2 linked regions of the Stegostoma tigrinum genome follow. Each later gene encodes a partner of the first gene's protein in a complex. Links are inferred from orthologs where the notes say so. Each region holds a gene or a part of one and is shown on either strand. Other genes may lie near its edges.

What was found.
Region 2: herpud1 (region 1) and ube2j1 share a complex: the UniProt entries of both Homo sapiens proteins name them as parts of the HRD1 complex. The link is inferred for Stegostoma tigrinum from reciprocal best matches to the Homo sapiens genes HERPUD1 and UBE2J1.

Annotation. Positions count from the first base shown.
Region 1 is NC_081369.1:15,385,301-15,393,860, reverse strand, and holds the start of herpud1 (homocysteine-responsive endoplasmic reticulum-resident ubiquitin-like domain member 1 protein), read right to left. Parts: upstream 3,092-8,560; 5' UTR 2,851-3,091; coding exon 2,710-2,850; intron 1-2,709. UniProt on the Homo sapiens protein: Component of the endoplasmic reticulum quality control (ERQC) system also called ER-associated degradation (ERAD) involved in ubiquitin-dependent degradation of misfolded endoplasmic reticulum proteins.
Region 2 is NC_081357.1:40,759,657-40,767,804, forward strand, and holds the start of ube2j1 (ubiquitin-conjugating enzyme E2 J1), read right to left. Parts: upstream 3,321-8,148; 5' UTR 3,077-3,320; coding exon 3,046-3,076; intron 1-3,045. UniProt on the Homo sapiens protein: Catalyzes the covalent attachment of ubiquitin to other proteins. Functions in the selective degradation of misfolded membrane proteins from the endoplasmic reticulum (ERAD) and is essential for cells to recover from ER stress.

The sequences.
Region 1 (8,560 bases):
ATATCAAGTGATTTATTAACAAACATGTTGTTTGTACCTCAGCTACTCATTTACATCAGCAGTTTTCAGTCAGCAGGCAGTGGGGATTACTCAATATTTGTCTTGTAGAAATGAGAGTGTTTTAAAAGGGCCATCGCAGTAGGTGTTAGGGTGCATCCATCAGTTCAATTTAAATGTTTATCTTGCGAGTGAGGGCATAAATAATTCTGAACATTGGATCATTCCACAGGGGGATAATTACTCAGGGAAGTGGAAAGTGACATGCTGAGCATGGAAAACCTTCCCATTATGTCCAGTCACTGGCAATGAAAGAAAACACCCAATTATAGACACTGTCCTCCCACAGCCTGGGTTGTTTCTCCATCTCTATGATATTAGTATGAGCTACTAGTGGTTACATATCTGAAAGAACTTTCAAAGCTGCATGTATTGTTTTAGAACGAAAAAGGACTAATTTCTTTTTCTTTCTCAGTTTGATAGAGAAGTCAGCAACAGCATAACAGGAAATTTTAGGTTTTCACTTTTACACTATGAGTGTCAACAGATGAGACATTTCATTCCCTTTGATCCCAGGATGTGAAACCTGTGTGAAAAGTCCCTAGCTCTCATCAGCCAAGCACATGCTGTTCACTGGCTGACAAATCACCACGTCACCTTAAGGTAAAAGCATTTCTCTCCAAATTGCTATAATCTGTCAACTTTAAAATCAGTATTTCATATTTTAATCAGACCTGGGATAAGAGTTGAAATGGTCATTGACAATGTAAAGTTTTAAGAGTGGCAATATTCTTGAAACAGCTGGGCAGACTCACTATTATATTATGCAATGCCACCTTTTCAGGTGTGTAGCAGCAGATACATTATTGTCATAATACTGTGGCACTTTTCTGCAATATATCAGCGGTATTTTAATTAGGCTTCTGTTCATGGCTAGTCAACTCCTACAGCCTTCCAGTACCTCACCTAATATTTTGATTCATTCAAGGGATGAGGGCTTGGCCGCCGAGACCATTCCTAATTGGCCAAGGGGTAATTTGTGTAGATCTGGAATCCACGGTCATCATTACACTCTTAATTCTAGGGATTTTTTTTTTAAAATTGATTTCAAATGCCATCTGCTGCAGCAGGATTCGAACCGACGTCTCCACATACACAGTCCAACAATAACATTAGGCCACTAGCTTTCCTCCTCTGTTGTGTGTAGTTGTTGCTGAATTACGTGGACATTGCAACCGTTCTGTCGTCAATTTGAAGATCACACGTGACTTTCAGGAGGGGAAACCACAAGAAACAGAACGTAAACTTGACCGGACACGTCCTCCAAGTTATTCACCATCCTACTTGAAAACACATCACCTATAGGTCAAAGTCCTGGAGTTCCCTTCCTAACAGCAGTCCTACATAGTTCACCATCAGCAATCGGACCCTGCTAGTGTCTCACATGTAAGAAAATATATTGTATGTTTAAGAGAGGTCTTTAGGTTTTTGGATAGAATCAAACCCCAATGTTATATTTGCTTCCTTGATATGAAACTCACTTTTTCAAGGGCTACTAGGTATGGGTAATAAGTGTTGGTCCAGCCAGCAACACCCATATCCCATAATCAATAAGGAGAAATTCCCTCACCCAGATTGAACACTCTCTCCTGTCTCCTTGCTGGGATGCACATAGATGGGGAATTAAGTCTGAGATCTTGCCAAGACTGTGATTCGTCTGCTCGTTGTTTTAATTAAATTATCACAGAAACTAATTTACAATCAGAGGGAAAAATATCGATGGCTGTGCATAAATTAACACTTTTAACTCATTTAAAGAGTTAGAGGCCACATTAGGGAAATATGTTTCCGAGCCATTTTAGAATCCTGTAGGTTCAGCGAACTGAACATTGGGAGGCAAATATAATGGAGCCGAAACAACAGTGTAGCTGGAATTGGTAAACTTCTTGTGTTTTTAGATCGTTCTGCCAGACTGTGAAGAGTTTCCACACCCTCATAAGTCACATTCGAGTCAAACTTTGCGATCCACTCTGAACCTAATAAGCTTCCGGCTTAGTACTCCTTTCAAGCAGGGCTCAGAGCATGGGTTATACATATTGGCGAGGAACAATTTAAAATAAAGGCAGGTTGGATAGTTTCTGGTAGTGTGATAATTTTAGCATCTATAGTCCATTGGAAGAAAAACAAAAAGGATTTTAATGACAAACACTTCAATGTAGAGAAGCTGTAAAATCCAAGTTAACACTTAAAATGCAATGTTAATACTCACACTCCCACCCTTCTACCTACTAAAATGAGAAGTCGAACAGTAGGGCAGCTTACAACTTTACTGTGCAGTGTACAACAGGATTGCCCAGCTCTGCTAAAATGTTTCTCACTTGCTGCCTAGCCCTGATGAGAATTTCTCGGGTCTTGCCGAGGACGGATCTGTTCTGCCTCACTTGTCAAAGATCGACGGGCCAGGCAGATCCACAAGTAGGAGCCGGAAGTCTCGGGAGGGGCAAGAAAATTTCTTAAAAAAAACTTTAAGCGAAGGGTCCCTGAAAGGAGCCCTCGAGTTCCACACCAACAATGTGTCTCGTTCCTGAGCGGCTATGAAAGCTTTAAAAATAAAATCTACCAGACTGCTAAATACAACTCGCTGTGATCTCCAGCGTTTTGTTGTTTTAGGTTCACTCCACCCTCAAGCGCTCCCCACCCGGAGTGACTTACTGGGTGACTCGGATAGTTCTCTCTCAGATAGGATTTCAGATTCTTCACCGTCCAGCCTGGATCCGCCTCGACTTTCTGATCTTCGTACTTTTGGTTCGGCGCTTTAATGAGCAGAGGCACCATTTCCACATGAGCCCCCATACCCGCTGCTTCTTTGGAGTTTAGGGGTTTTTTTTCGCTCCTCTGGATTTTGTGCGAGGTTTATAATCGGAACCGCTTCTTCAGCGCCGCGAGTGTTGAGTAAGGGTAGAGCAGGAACTGGTACAAGACAAGCGGGTTACACCGAGCGCTGCTAATCCCTCCCGCTCAGCAGTTTATAGACTCACTGTGACTTGTCTCCTCGCCCCCTGCTTTCTGAGTTTGTTTTCCCATTGTACTGGGGCTGTAGGGTGGGGGCGGAGTGTCCGTAATGCCAAGCCGGAGTGTGGCTGCTGGTGATTGGTCCTTTGTAGCAGCGACGTGGAGCTCGAAGGAGGCAGTTTTGGAATGCGAACCGGGGGAGGGGATTTCCCCGCCTCCCTGCCGGGCTCGGAGCGTTCACGGCCGGCTACAGCTCCCCAGCCCTGTCCGGGCCTCAGGAGAACCACAAGCGCTGCCCGTTTCTCAGAATCAGATTGCACGGAAACAGACCCTTCGGCCCACTTCTCCATGTTGACCAAGTTTCATAAACTAAACTAATCCCATTTCCCTGCATTTGACCCATATCCCTCTAAACCTTTCCTAATCATGCAAATTGTCTTTTTAAATGTTATGGTGCCCATCTTTACCGCTTCCTCTGGCGGCTCATTTTGTACACGCGCTACCCTCTGAGAAAAAGTTCCCCTTTTCCTTTTAAATCTTTCTCCTCTCACCTTAAACCAATGCCTCTAGTTTTGAACTGCCCTGCCCTTAGGAAAAGACCTTGGCTATTCACCTAGATAACAAAGTGTGGTGCTGGATGAACACAGCAGGCCAAGCAGCATCTTAGGAGCACAAAAGCTAACGTTAGGCCCGAAGCGTCAGCTTTCCTGCTGCTAAGATGCTGCTTGGCCTGCTGTGTTCATCCAGCTTCACACTTTGTTATCTCGGATTCTCCAGCATCCGCAGTTCCCATTATCTCTTGGCTATTCACCTCATGATTTTACAAACCTCTCTAAAGGTCACCCCTGAGCCTGTGATGCTCCAGGGAAAACAGTCCCAGCCTCTCCTTATAACTCAAAGCCTCAGGACTTGGTAACAACCTTGTAAATCTTTTTCGCACCCTTCTGAGTTTGATAAAATTCTTCCTATAGCAGGGCAATCAGAATTGTATGCAGTATTCTAGATGTGGCCCTACCAATGCCTCGTACAGCTGTAACATGACATCCCAACTCCTGTACTCAACGCTCTGACCGATGAAGGCAAGCATACCAAATGCCTACTACCCTGCACACCCGTGATGCTACTTTCAAGAAATTATGTACCTGCACACTGAGGTCTCTCTTCTTTGCAACCTTTTCATTACACCTCTCCCTCCGTCAGAAGTGGAGGCCATTTCATCTGTTCATCCTGTGCTCTTACTGTGTAATCTAATTAACTCCAAGCCCCCTGCTCTTCACCCAGTCTCCAATGGAAAGTTCCTGTTGAATCTGCATTCAGCTGCTCCTTGGGGACACTGCATTTCCAGACAAGAACAACTCATGTAAACAGCCAACTCACTTACACTCTGAGGTATAGTAGATTCTGGCATCTCCTTCTCACGAAAGGATCTGTCAGTTTCTCACTAAACTTGTATATTAGGATAAAGGTCCAGATTGCACAGAACTGTTGCCACAGGAGGAGGCGGCCATTCAACTAATCATGTCTGCACCAGCCCACCACGAGTATTTAATTTTGCACAATTCTACTGTTATTTCCTCTTAAGTCTGTGGTCTTCCTTTTCAAAAGACAGTCTAATCCCCTTTTCAATATCTCAAACAAACCTGCTGCTACCACACAGTTGGATTGTGTGTTCCTGAGCCCAACCATTTATGGGTTTTTCCCTGTCACGTTTGCTCTCTTAAGAACTACTTTAAATCTGTGGCCTCTCATTCTCAATTCTTTTATGAGTGTCTTTCCCTATTTGCCCTGTCTCCTTAACTCAATAATTAACACAGTTCCCTTACTAGCAAACACTTAACAGCTGCTTAACCAATGCAGCAGGGGTAATTTAACTAGCAACACGTGAAGGCAGAGAAATTAATATTGGGAGTTGGGTAATACGTGCGTGACTGAAGTGAGAATTTAAAGGGCCTGGGCAGGCATGGGAAACACATGCAAAAACATGGTGAGGGCAGGCCGCCATGGGATAATGCATCATCAGGTCACAGTTCAGGTCTGTGCGGGAGCAGAGACACTCTGCCTCACAAACATAGGTTCCACGGTCACCTCTGTTCATTTTGAACTTTGGCGAATTTGTCTTTGCAATTCGTGACAACACCACCCGTTCCCAAATTTATTACTTCAAAGTGTTGGCAAAGATTTGTAGCTTGGGTTATGGATGAAGTTGCTGACTAACTTGCCGAGCTGGCTTGTTCTCGTTCAGATGTTTCGTCACCATGCTAGCTGACATCATCAGTGAGGCCTCCAATAAAGCGGTGTTATTCTACTCCACTTGGAATTTATACTGTCTGGTCTGTTATGGTGAGTACAGTCATTTCTGGTTTTGATCTGTATGGGTTTGTATGTGGGGTCCAATTCTGTGTGTTCGTTGACTGCATTGCAGATGGAAAACCATGACTCTAGGAATTCCCATGTGTGTCTATGTTTGGCTTGAGCTATTATGGTTACCTTATCCTAGTCAAACTGATGGCCTTCATTGTCTGAGTATACCGATATCAAGGAGAGTTTGTTGTGCCGTTTTGCTGCTAGTCGATGTTCATATATTCTGATGGAAAGTTTCCATCCTGTCCGTCTGATGTAGTATTTGTGGCAGTCGTTGTGTGGTATTTTGTAAACCACGTTGGTTCTGCATGTTGTGGCAATGGCGTCTTTAATTCTTGTAATTTTTTGTCGTAGAGTAGCTGTGGGCCTATGTGCCACCATGGTTCCTAGTGGTGTTAGGAGTCTTGTCAGTTCTGACATGTTCCTGATGTATAGCAGTGTGGCCAGTGGGTTAGGGCATACTGCGTCCTAAATTCCAAGTATAAATTCCAAGCAGAGTAGAATAACATTGCTTCATCTGAGAGTCCACTGATGATGTCACCTAGCATAGTGACAAGACATCTGAATGAGAACAAGCCAGGTCGGTGAGCAAGTCGACAACCTCCAACTTATTTCCTCTTGCTAAGCTCATTAGAATCTACTGTCCTGGCATTTTCACACCAACCCATCATATCCAAACCCTTCATAAGAGCTAGTAGGAACTACTGCTGCTGGAGTCAGAGATAACAGTGTGGAGCTGGTGGAGCGGAGCAGGAAAGTTGACGTTTTGGAAGAAAGGTCCCAACCCAAAACGTCAATTTTCCTGCTCCTCTGATGCTACCTGGCCTGCCAAACCTTTCATAAAAGTCTTTTTTAAAATTCATTCATGGAATCATGGACTTTCCTAGCTAGGCCAGGATTTATTGACCATCTCCAATTGCCCAGAGGACAGTTAAGTATCAACCCTGTTGTTGTGGGTATGGAATCACACATAGGCCAGAGCAGGAAAGGATGGCAGATTTCCTTCCCTAAAGGAAATAACTGAGCCAGACTGTCAAAAACAATAAAATCAACAGTGGTTAGAGATAGTAAGAACTGCCGATGCTGGAGTCCAAGACAATACAGTGTGAAGCTGCAGGAACACAGTGGGCCAGGCAGCGTTAGAGGAGCAGAAAAGTTGACTTTTCAGGTCAGGACCCTTCTTCAGCTTCATACTGTTTTGTCAATAGTGGTTACATGGTTTTTATTAGGCCAGCTCATATTTCCATACTGTTGTTGAATTCAGCTTCAGTCATGGAGGAATTCAATCCCCTGTCTCCAGAGCATTACCCTAGGGTTCTGGATTATGTTAATGCTATACCACTGCTCCAGTCCCAAAACCTGAAATGTGGAGCAAAGACAAGGACCTGTTCCACTTTCTTTCAGGTTCTCCTCTACACAATTGGAAAAGGTAGGAAGTTGTCTCCTGGAGGCCCTCCTGCCCATCCAAGATAGCTTGGACAGCATTTGCAGAGGGGACTAGCAACTGTGGGGTCCACTCAAGATCACAAGTGCGCTGTTAGGTTAGGGTTGATGACCTCCTTCAATCCACCCAGGTAAGTGTCTCAGTGGCACGGGATAATCGCTCGGGTGGACATCAGTATTTGTGTGAGTGAGCAGCAGGGCCAGCAGGTGAGCATGTCAACTGGATAGCATTTGAGGCCAGGGTCCAAATATTTACTCAAGCCAAACTATCTCAAATAAACACATCAGGCAGTTTGTGTTAAGAAGATAACAAGACAGTCAGTTGGCATTTGTCAAGCCACTAAACATCCACTTTTTCTTGTAGGATAAATGGACCCCCTCATCAAAAGGGAAAGGCAAAGGGGTCTGAAGAGTGCCCAGAATGAACACCTTCACCCCTGCATGGGGCAAGAAACCTTCTATTCTGATAGGGACCAGCTAAGTCAGCTCATTGCTGACAGTAAGTCAAGAGTGATGAGGCATGAAATTGCCATATGGATGCTCAGCACCACTGGAGGAATTGTGCAGTGGTCCCAGACTCTGTGGAACTTGTTCTCCTTCTCAGATGCCCTTCAGTGCAGAAGCTGGACCTTAGTCACTGGAGACTGAAGACTTCACCCCTAGGACAATGACATCAGTGACCGACAGGATGCGCCCTCCACCAGCAATACTCCACCCAGCAAGGTCACAGAGGGGTCGAATTTAGAATTGAGGCATATTTTGGTAAGCATGGCACAGAAATGAGGAAGCACGTGACAAATGAGGTCCAGATACTGCAATGACCTCACCCCAATTCCAAGCCACACCGTTGATGGGTCTCTGGCTGCGGCCTTAGGTCTAAAGGACGTGCAACGAAGGTGAGAAGAACGTATGATGGAAATACCAATGGTTAAACACAACTTTGTGCAGACTAAGAAGATGTCTGTGCCTATCAGGTGTTCTGCCAAGTCTCCGAGCACTGTTTCATGAGGGAGTGACCACCACGGAAAGCCAGGCCAAGTAACCAACCCCACGTGCAGTGTGACCTCCACTCAGGGAGAGAGGGAGCTCCTGCGCCCAGATGTAGGACAAACCCAGGCTAGCTGAGCTGGGAACTTGCTCTCAGGACTGCTCCAGGGGGAGCATCCTCGTCTCATTCCCTCAGCAAGGGGCATCAATTACTTTCTGCATGTCTTGCTGATGATGTTTCCCCTCGTACTCGTGTGGAACACCCAGGTAGACAGACAGAGAATGCAGGTCAAAACCACCACAGATAACAGGATATCACAGCGTGCAACCTGCCATCACCGCAACCTGCCATCACCTCAACTGCTGATATCAGGTTCACGCCAAGAAACAGTACTGGAAAGAGAAATCTTCAAAATTAATAAAGCACAAGTGAAATTCTCTTTAATACAATTAGCTATTGTAGATATCTCCTAATCAACCTGTCAGAGATGTTATTACATACCTCTGGAGAGACAAGACTTGAACTCCATCCTCCTGGCTCAGAGTTAGAGACGCTACCACTACCTCAGAGCCCACATATAGCTATTGTACTTTATATTATTCCCTCTTTATTCATGTATGCATCATTATCCAAATTAGGGATTTGAATAGTCAAAGATCTAACTGGCATCATTGATGGGTTCCGAGGGAGCTGAAATGATAACTGGCATCGTTGATAGTGGGTTCAAATCCTGCCACAGCAGATGGTGGAATTTGCATT
Region 2 (8,148 bases), on another chromosome or scaffold:
GGGCGTGCAATAGATGAGATCAATTTTGGCAAGATCAGCATTATTTGGGACTACAGCATCCATTCATCAGTTCAATAACAGCTGGGAAGAAGCCATTCCTGAACCTACTGGTGCATGTCTCATCAACTCTTGCAAGTAAAGTCCCAGCCTGTTTAATCTTTGCTCAAGACAATCCCTCCATACCAGGGATCGTCCTAGTGAATTGCTTCCAATGAAATAATATTGGTCCCCTTGTTAAAAGGAACAAAAGTGCTTACAATACTCCAGACGTGGTGTGACCAGCACCGTGTACAGGTGTAACAAGGCTTCCCTACTTGTACTCCATACCACTTTGAAATAAGGGCCAACATTCCATTAGCTTCCCTGATTTCCTGCTTCGCTTGCATGCACAAGTACACCCCAAGTTGCTTTGTGTTACAACTTTTTGCGGTTTCTCTGATATATTTTAAGAATCACATATAGTACACTTCCTTTTTGCTAAAAACTTATCCTAACCCAGGTAAATCTATTGTAAAATTTGACTCAGTTTTGATTTCTTATACAGCTGTTTAAGTTATTGCCACTGAAACAACACTAAGATACAAATACAGTGCAATTTATTTTTAAGAAATTACTACAAAATAATTTATACTGACTACTGAACACTCCCCTCTATTTTGAAGGCATATAAACCTTAAAATGTTGTATGCTCCAGTCTCAAGTACACTGTTCTATAACGTGCCCATTTTGTTTGAATTGTCAGAATTCCTATCACCAATCTCAAGAGTTTATAAACTTTGCATTCATTTTGGCATGAGCTTCTTTCCTTAAAGAAAATGAAGTATTTTAAGTTGTATAATAGCAAAGTTTATAAACTGAGAATCATTATGTGAAAAAGGATAACTTCTTATTCACTTTTTTGAACAAAATTAAAAGGATCTTATATCTTAAAGATATTATACCTTAAAAAGGAAACTAACTGGCAAAAGACTCAATTTGGACACGTCCACTAATATCAACAAGTAGTTCAGGCCAGAAGACAGCCTCAGATGGTCGGAGCTGAAACATCTGATGGACAACTAGCCAGCGTCTAGAACCCTTAATAAAAACTTTGAGTCAAAGATTTGGGAAGGCTTTGATTGGCTTACCTGATTTGCTGGCCAGAAAAGGTCCGAAAAGTCAAAAGCTGCTGTAACTTATGGCTAACCGTAAAGTTGACAACCCTTCACTGCCACCATCCCTCTGCTCATGCCAACACACAGAAAATGCCTGGCTTGAACAACCATCCCTTTTGATCAATCCTTTTCCGAGGGAATTCATTGTCTCAAATTCAACCCACATGTGGTCAAAAGCAAGTTCAAGCAGGCCAGTATTCTTACATCTAACCTCCAGCGGCCATCAAAAACACAATTATTAGGATCCAGAATTAATAAATCATAACTGTTCAGGTCATACAGCTTAATAATAGTGCTCAAAAAAGGTATTAAGAAATAGCACACACTCCATATGAATTCCTCTAAAACCTAACTTTAACAAGAATGACCAAAGCACACATCAAGGCCACATAACTCTCATCTGCCATCTAACTGGCAATGGAGGCAGTATCAGAAAACAAACCTTTCACTAATGTTCTCATACTTCAATTTTAAGATCAATTTTTGGTTACATGGGGTGTGGGCATCACTTGCAAGATCAAGAGACAACACGGCATAAAGGTGGATGAACACAGCAGGCCAAGCAGCAGAGGAGAAGGAAAGCTTGACGTTTCGGGGTCGGGACTCTCCTTCAGAAAAATGCAAGATCAATATTTGTGGCCCAAACCCAAATACCCATGGTAATTCCAGGTACATTGCAAATAACTGTAGGGATCTAGTACATTTCATACTCCAACAGATCAATAGCTAAAAAAACTGGATTTATTTTGGACGATTTCTATCGTTCTCTAAAAGCAAATTTAGAGACATTCATCGGAAGCCATACGCAGTCACAAATTTCCAAAACAGACAAGAATATGCCTAATGTGCAAATCAGACTTTGTATGGAACATGCAAGGGAAGCAGAAGCTTTAATGCTGATACTGACAGGAATGAAGGATGAAATATCAGCCAGAACAGTACTAAGTAAAATACTGCCATGCCAGAAATTAAAAGTAAACAAAGTGCTGAAAACACTGAGCAGGTCAAGTAGTGCTTACAGATTAGGTTATGTTAACATTGGAGGTCAGTGACAATAAATTAGATTCCAATATTGAAACAGCTGACCCTGGTTGTGTGGGCACATGCAAGTGAAACAGCAGAGGAATTGAGCAAATAATTCTAGAAGTAGAAACAGGTGATCTTTCTGCTAGATGGCAATGGGATAAAAACTATCTGCTTTAACCAGTGACATTTCTAGAGGAGAATGGAACTGGTGGCAAGTGGCTCCAAGGAGCCCAACAACCACAGTTGAGGTTTTCCCAATATTTACATGGGGGGGAAGAAGAGTGTTAAAAGAAATCCTCCTCAGAGGCTGACCAGCAGTCCAACTAAACAACTCCTAGGTGGATTAAGACTAAGAGAGGTGGCAGAGGTTGAGCTGTGCACCATCCTTCTGTCTACTGGAAGGTTGTAACAGGACAAAAAGGGATTCGACGACTGATGTTTAAAGCCACCCGAAACAAGTTCAGATCACTGATGAAGGGTCTAGGCCCGAAACGTCAGCTTTTGTGCTCCTGAGATGCTGCTGGGCCTGCTGTGTTCATCCAGCCTCACATTTTATTGTCTCGAAACAAGTTCAGTGTTGTGTCTTGCCCAGTCCAGCCCAGCCCAGCCCAGCCCAGCGAAACACCGAGTAGCAGCAAGTGGATTCTGAAGGCATCTCAGGGAGCGAGGCACAACTACGGCCTTCAACACACCGGGGCAGAAAGCGACAGGCCTGCAACAGGACAGCAGCAGTTGTGTAGGGTACGACAGGCCGGGAGAGGGCCGGAACTAGGCGACCACTCATACACAACACACACTCACAGAAGGCACGAAACGGGAGAAAGGACGGGGGAGCCGGTTGAGGAAGGGAGAACGTTTCACTCACCCGGATTCCTCAGGTTGTACTGGCCCTCCATGTTGTCAGTTTCTGGCAGCGCTGCCGCTTCAGGAGATCGCGGACACAGCGGGAAGTCACAAACACTCTGACTCCACCCACCGGGGCTCGCGGACACAGCAGCGCCGTCACACGACCCCGTCCCAAGACCCCAGGGCTCGAGGACAATGCGTTATCAGACCACACGCGCCGGCTTTGAACAGGCTAATGCCGAAACCCTCCAGCGCGAGCGGAGACTTGACCTTTTGTGACGTGGCGTTAAACAGTGGTTCCGGCGCAGGCGCGACAAAGGTACCCACCCTCCAGTTTCCCGGCGGGCGGCTGCAGTTAAATCAGTTAAACCTCGTCCCTCAACCTCACAGCCAGGTCTCGATATGAACCGAATTTATGGGACTGCATTTAGTACCCGCGCACACTCATCAAACTAAAAACAGGTAGCATTTTGTAAATGCGAAATAAAGGGTGACAGTAGTAATGAGTGACGCTTGTAGTTTTGGTAGTGTTACCCTTGATTCAGCACTCTCTTTAGCCGGACAAAAGTCAATTTTGTTTAGGAAAGCAAAAAAATTGAACAAGGACATTTAGGTCAAATATTGGTCTAGATGTGAGCGAGCTTCATTCCAGGTTGTGTGAAGGATGTTCTGGGAATCTTGCAGCCTGAACCAACGAGAATATTATTTGCTAACTGTTGACTTACTAAGATTGTTTACACGATTGCTCCACTTTTGAAGTGCCAAGTCGATCATACATCGCGACCTCCTGTTGAGTTCTCCAGCTTCGCAGTTTCCAACCAATTCTCGATTCACTTGGCGGGGTAGCTCGAAACAGCGGAAGGAGACTGGAGACTGCCAAGGCCTTGAGTTCTGACAGCACTCAAAAGTAGTACTGATGACTTGTTCTCCAGAATTTACTGCATCCCTAGCCAAAAGAAAAATAGTTGTGGCTGTTGGAAGTGTATCATCTCAGCCTCATTACGAGGCCAGAAGTGAGGATGTTTGCTGGTGATTGCACATTTTCCTTGGACTTGGCTAATAAGTGGCAAATAACATTCACACCACACAAATACCAACCAATGGCCACCTGCAACAAGAACCAGGCCGTTTAACGTTCAATGACATTACCATCGCTGGATCCCTCTCTTTTAACATTTTGGGAGTTTCCACTGGACAGAAACTGGACTAGCTACATAAATATTATGGCAACAAAAAAAAAGCCAAGGGCTATGACCTAAGTGGTGAATAACTCACTTGCTGTCTTGCAGTGCCTGTCCATGATCTACAAGGCTCAGTGTCTTGGCATACTCTCCATTTGTCTGGATGGATGCTGCTTCAACGACACTGAGGAAACCTGACACCATCCAGGTTGAAGCAGCCTGCTTAATTTGTACCCTGTCCACGACCTTCAAGTTCACTGCCGAACACACAGAAGAAATGGTTGTAGCTCATCTCAGCCCTAGTACATCACTGCAGGAATTCCTCAGAGTAGTGCCACTGTTCCTGCATTGTCGTCATGTTAAAATCCTGGAACTCTGTTCCAAATAACACTGAGGTGTTGCAGTGGTTCAAGAAGACAACTTACCATCACCTTCTCTAGGCGATTAGGAATGGGCAATAAACAGCCATCCATCAATGACCTTCCTGGGCCAGCAATACATTCCATTAATGAATTTTAAAAATGCATATAATTGTAAAATGAACTGCTTGGATGCTGAAGATACAGTCAAGGTAACCAGCTAGATTTGCTTAATTCAGTATGAGGGCAAATAGATAAGTTGTAACAGCCATGGATTTATGGTTTTTTTGGGAGGTAATATCATTAACAATAACTTGTTCTTTAAGATATGTGTCCAGAAAACAACAAAATTATAGGTAATAAAACTTCTTGAGATTTTTAGATTATATTTGCAGATACTTAGTCCCATTTATTTATTTGCCTTACACTAATAACTTTCAGCACCCTTTGTGTTTACTTATTAAAAGAGGAACATTGTGACAACTGATATGTAGAATATGTTCAGCAAATTTAATTCTTATCACTGAGAGAATTTAATTCTTATCACTGGCTAGGAGGAAACAGTACCTTAGTGCTATTATCACTAGCAATCCAGAGGCCCAGTTTAATGTTTTAGGATCATGGTAACTAGTGGAATTTAAATTCAATTAATATGTCTGGTACTGAAAGTTAGCCCCAGTAATGGTGACCATGAAACTATAAATAATCATCTAAAAGATCTAGAGATAGATCTCTGTGACTCCAAACTCACAGAAATGTGTTAAATCTACCCTCTGAAATGGCCTAGCAGGCCACTCAATTCAAGGGCAATTTTGAATGGGCAGCTTTGCTAGTGATGCCCACATCCTAGGAAAGAATACATTTTAAAAATGACAATTCTAAAGCTTAGTGTTTTATTTTGCCTGAACACCAACTGCGACTTCTTTAATATTCAACTGATATTTTATCTGTAATTATAAATAAAAGTAATTTCCACCAATAATATTTTAGGTGTCAGTCTCAGTCAAGTACAGTCTCAGTCAAGTACAGTCTTGTAAGGTCAAAAGATGGTGTCCTATAAAACGCTGCAAAAAATGACAATGGTGCACCATTTAACAAAGGTGTTACAATGAAATAAATGTGACTGGGCATTCTTCTTACCTACGAGGCAGAAACACCATTGGGGAAAAACAATGTAGACAAAGGCAGGTTGTATTTAGTTGTGTATGTATGTACACCATGCTTTGTTTACTCTATGTTATCAACTGTACACAGTTCTTTGAGTGATTTCCTTGACTGGTTGATGCTGTGTAATTACAAAGCTATTTCTTTTCATTAAGATCTATCATAATGAGGAGGCTACAGGCTAATCCATATCCAACAATCTGCTCTGAAAACTTTGCTCACATTTGACATCTGTAACAAATTGTTTTAAAATATTGTGGATTTCTCAGTGGTACAATGAACCATATTTTAAACAACAACCCAAAACACTCTAAAATAAAATACAAATTTACTGTATCACACAATATTAACAGATGGATCCTATAAAAAATGTCTAGGATCCAAATTTGCAACTTCACCTAGAACGTTTTAGTTCTTTCTTGGTGCTCATCTGTTTACCAAATTTGTTTCAGATCTTTTCTGATTTGAAATATATGTAGTTTACAGACTAGTAGGGGAAAAACATTACCTTTATCCTCCTGAAATGGTTTACAAAAAGCTTTATGGAAGTGGTAGAGGAAGCAGAGAGAGGGAAAGATAAGGCGTGCAGAAATAAGCTGTGGACATCTAGTACAAATGACTGAGAAATCACAAATTCAAAATTGAAATTCAGCACAGCAAAATGATAAAATGAAAAATTAGTCATGATTCAAATGGAAAGAAAAATACATCAATTAAAAATGTAAGGAGAGAATCTCAAAGATGAATGTTAAAAGTGGAAACTAGTACAGATAATTGTAAAAAAGCCTGAGAAGCAGTGGAACAGAAACACAGAAACTTAACTGAAAGATCCTTACCGTTACACAGAAATTCACAACTCCAGTTCACGTATGAAAAAGTCAGAAGTGAAAACAAAATACCTGCAGGCAGTGATCTGTTGTCAAAACCGAGGAAGCATGGACCATTGTTCTAGTTGCAAAAAAATGTAAATCATGGGAAGCATGAAAATTTTCAGCAGAGAGAAAACATCAAAGAAAAGTTGAATTGGATGAGAATGAGACAAATGGCAGAGGGAAAAAGTGGAGAAAGAGAAAATTATTAGTGGAGTACAAAGAAGCATTACTAGGTAGAGAAGTGAACAACTGTACCCATAGCTGGAAGAACATACGCTTCTCTATGTTTTGCTGTTCCAAGCTGAAAACAAGTTGCAGAACTACTAAGTCAATATCAGTTAGTTAAATTTATTATCAAACGTGGCAACAAAACTCAAATATACCTCAAACGAACGCACATGAGGAAAACATGCATTTAGGTGGAGTTATGGTAGAATTTCTGTCATTATTATTTCATTATTACATCACTGGTAGGGAAATTATTGGAAAGGGTTCTTCGAGACAGGATTTACTCCCAACTGGAAATCAATGGATGTATTAGTGAGAGGCAACATGGTTTTTGTGAAGGGGAAGTCGTGTCTCACTAACTTGGTTGAGTTTTTTGAGGAAGTGATGAAGATGATCAATGAGGGTAGGGCAGTGAATGGTGTCTACATGAATTTCAGTAAGGCCTTTGACAAGGTCCCTCATGGCAGGCTGATACAGAAGGTTAAGTCGCATGGGGTCAGAGGTGAGCCTGCAAGATGGATAAAAAAACTGGCTGAGTCATAGAAGACAGAGGATAGCAGTGGAAAGGTGCATTTTTGAATGGAGGGCTGTGACTAGTCATGTTCTTCAGGGATCAGTGTTGGGAATTTTGCTATTTGTAATACATATAAATGATTTGGATGAGAATGTAACTGGTCTGATTAGTAAGTTTGCCGATGATACAAAGGTTGGTGGAATTGCGGATAACGATGAGGAACGTCAAAGGATACAGCAGGATATAGATCAGTTGGTGACTTTGGCAGAGAGATTGCAGGTGGAGTTAAATCCGGCAAATTGTGAGCTAATGCATTTTGGAAGGTCTAATCCAGATGGAAAATACACAGTAAATGGCAGAACCCTTAAGAGTACTGATAGGCAGAGGGGTCTGGGTATACAGGGACATAGGTCACTGAAAGTGGCAACGTAGTTGGAAAAGGTAGTCAACAAGTCATATGGCGTGCTTGCCTTCATTGGCTGGGGCAATGAGTTTAAAAATTGGCAAGTAATGTTGCAGTCTTAAAGAACCTTAGTTAGGCTGCATTCGGAATATTGTGCTCAATTCTGGTCGCTACACTACCAGAAGGATGTTGTGGCTTTGGAGAGGGTACAAAAAAAATTTACCAGATTGCTTGGTATGGAGGGCATTAGCTATGAGGAGAGGTTGGAGAAGCTTGAGTTGTTCTCACTGGAACGACGGAGGGTGAGCAGGGACCTGATAGAAGTCTACAAGATTATGAAGGGCATGGACAGACTGGATAGTCAGAAGCTTTTTCCCAGGTTGGAAGAATCAGTTACCAGG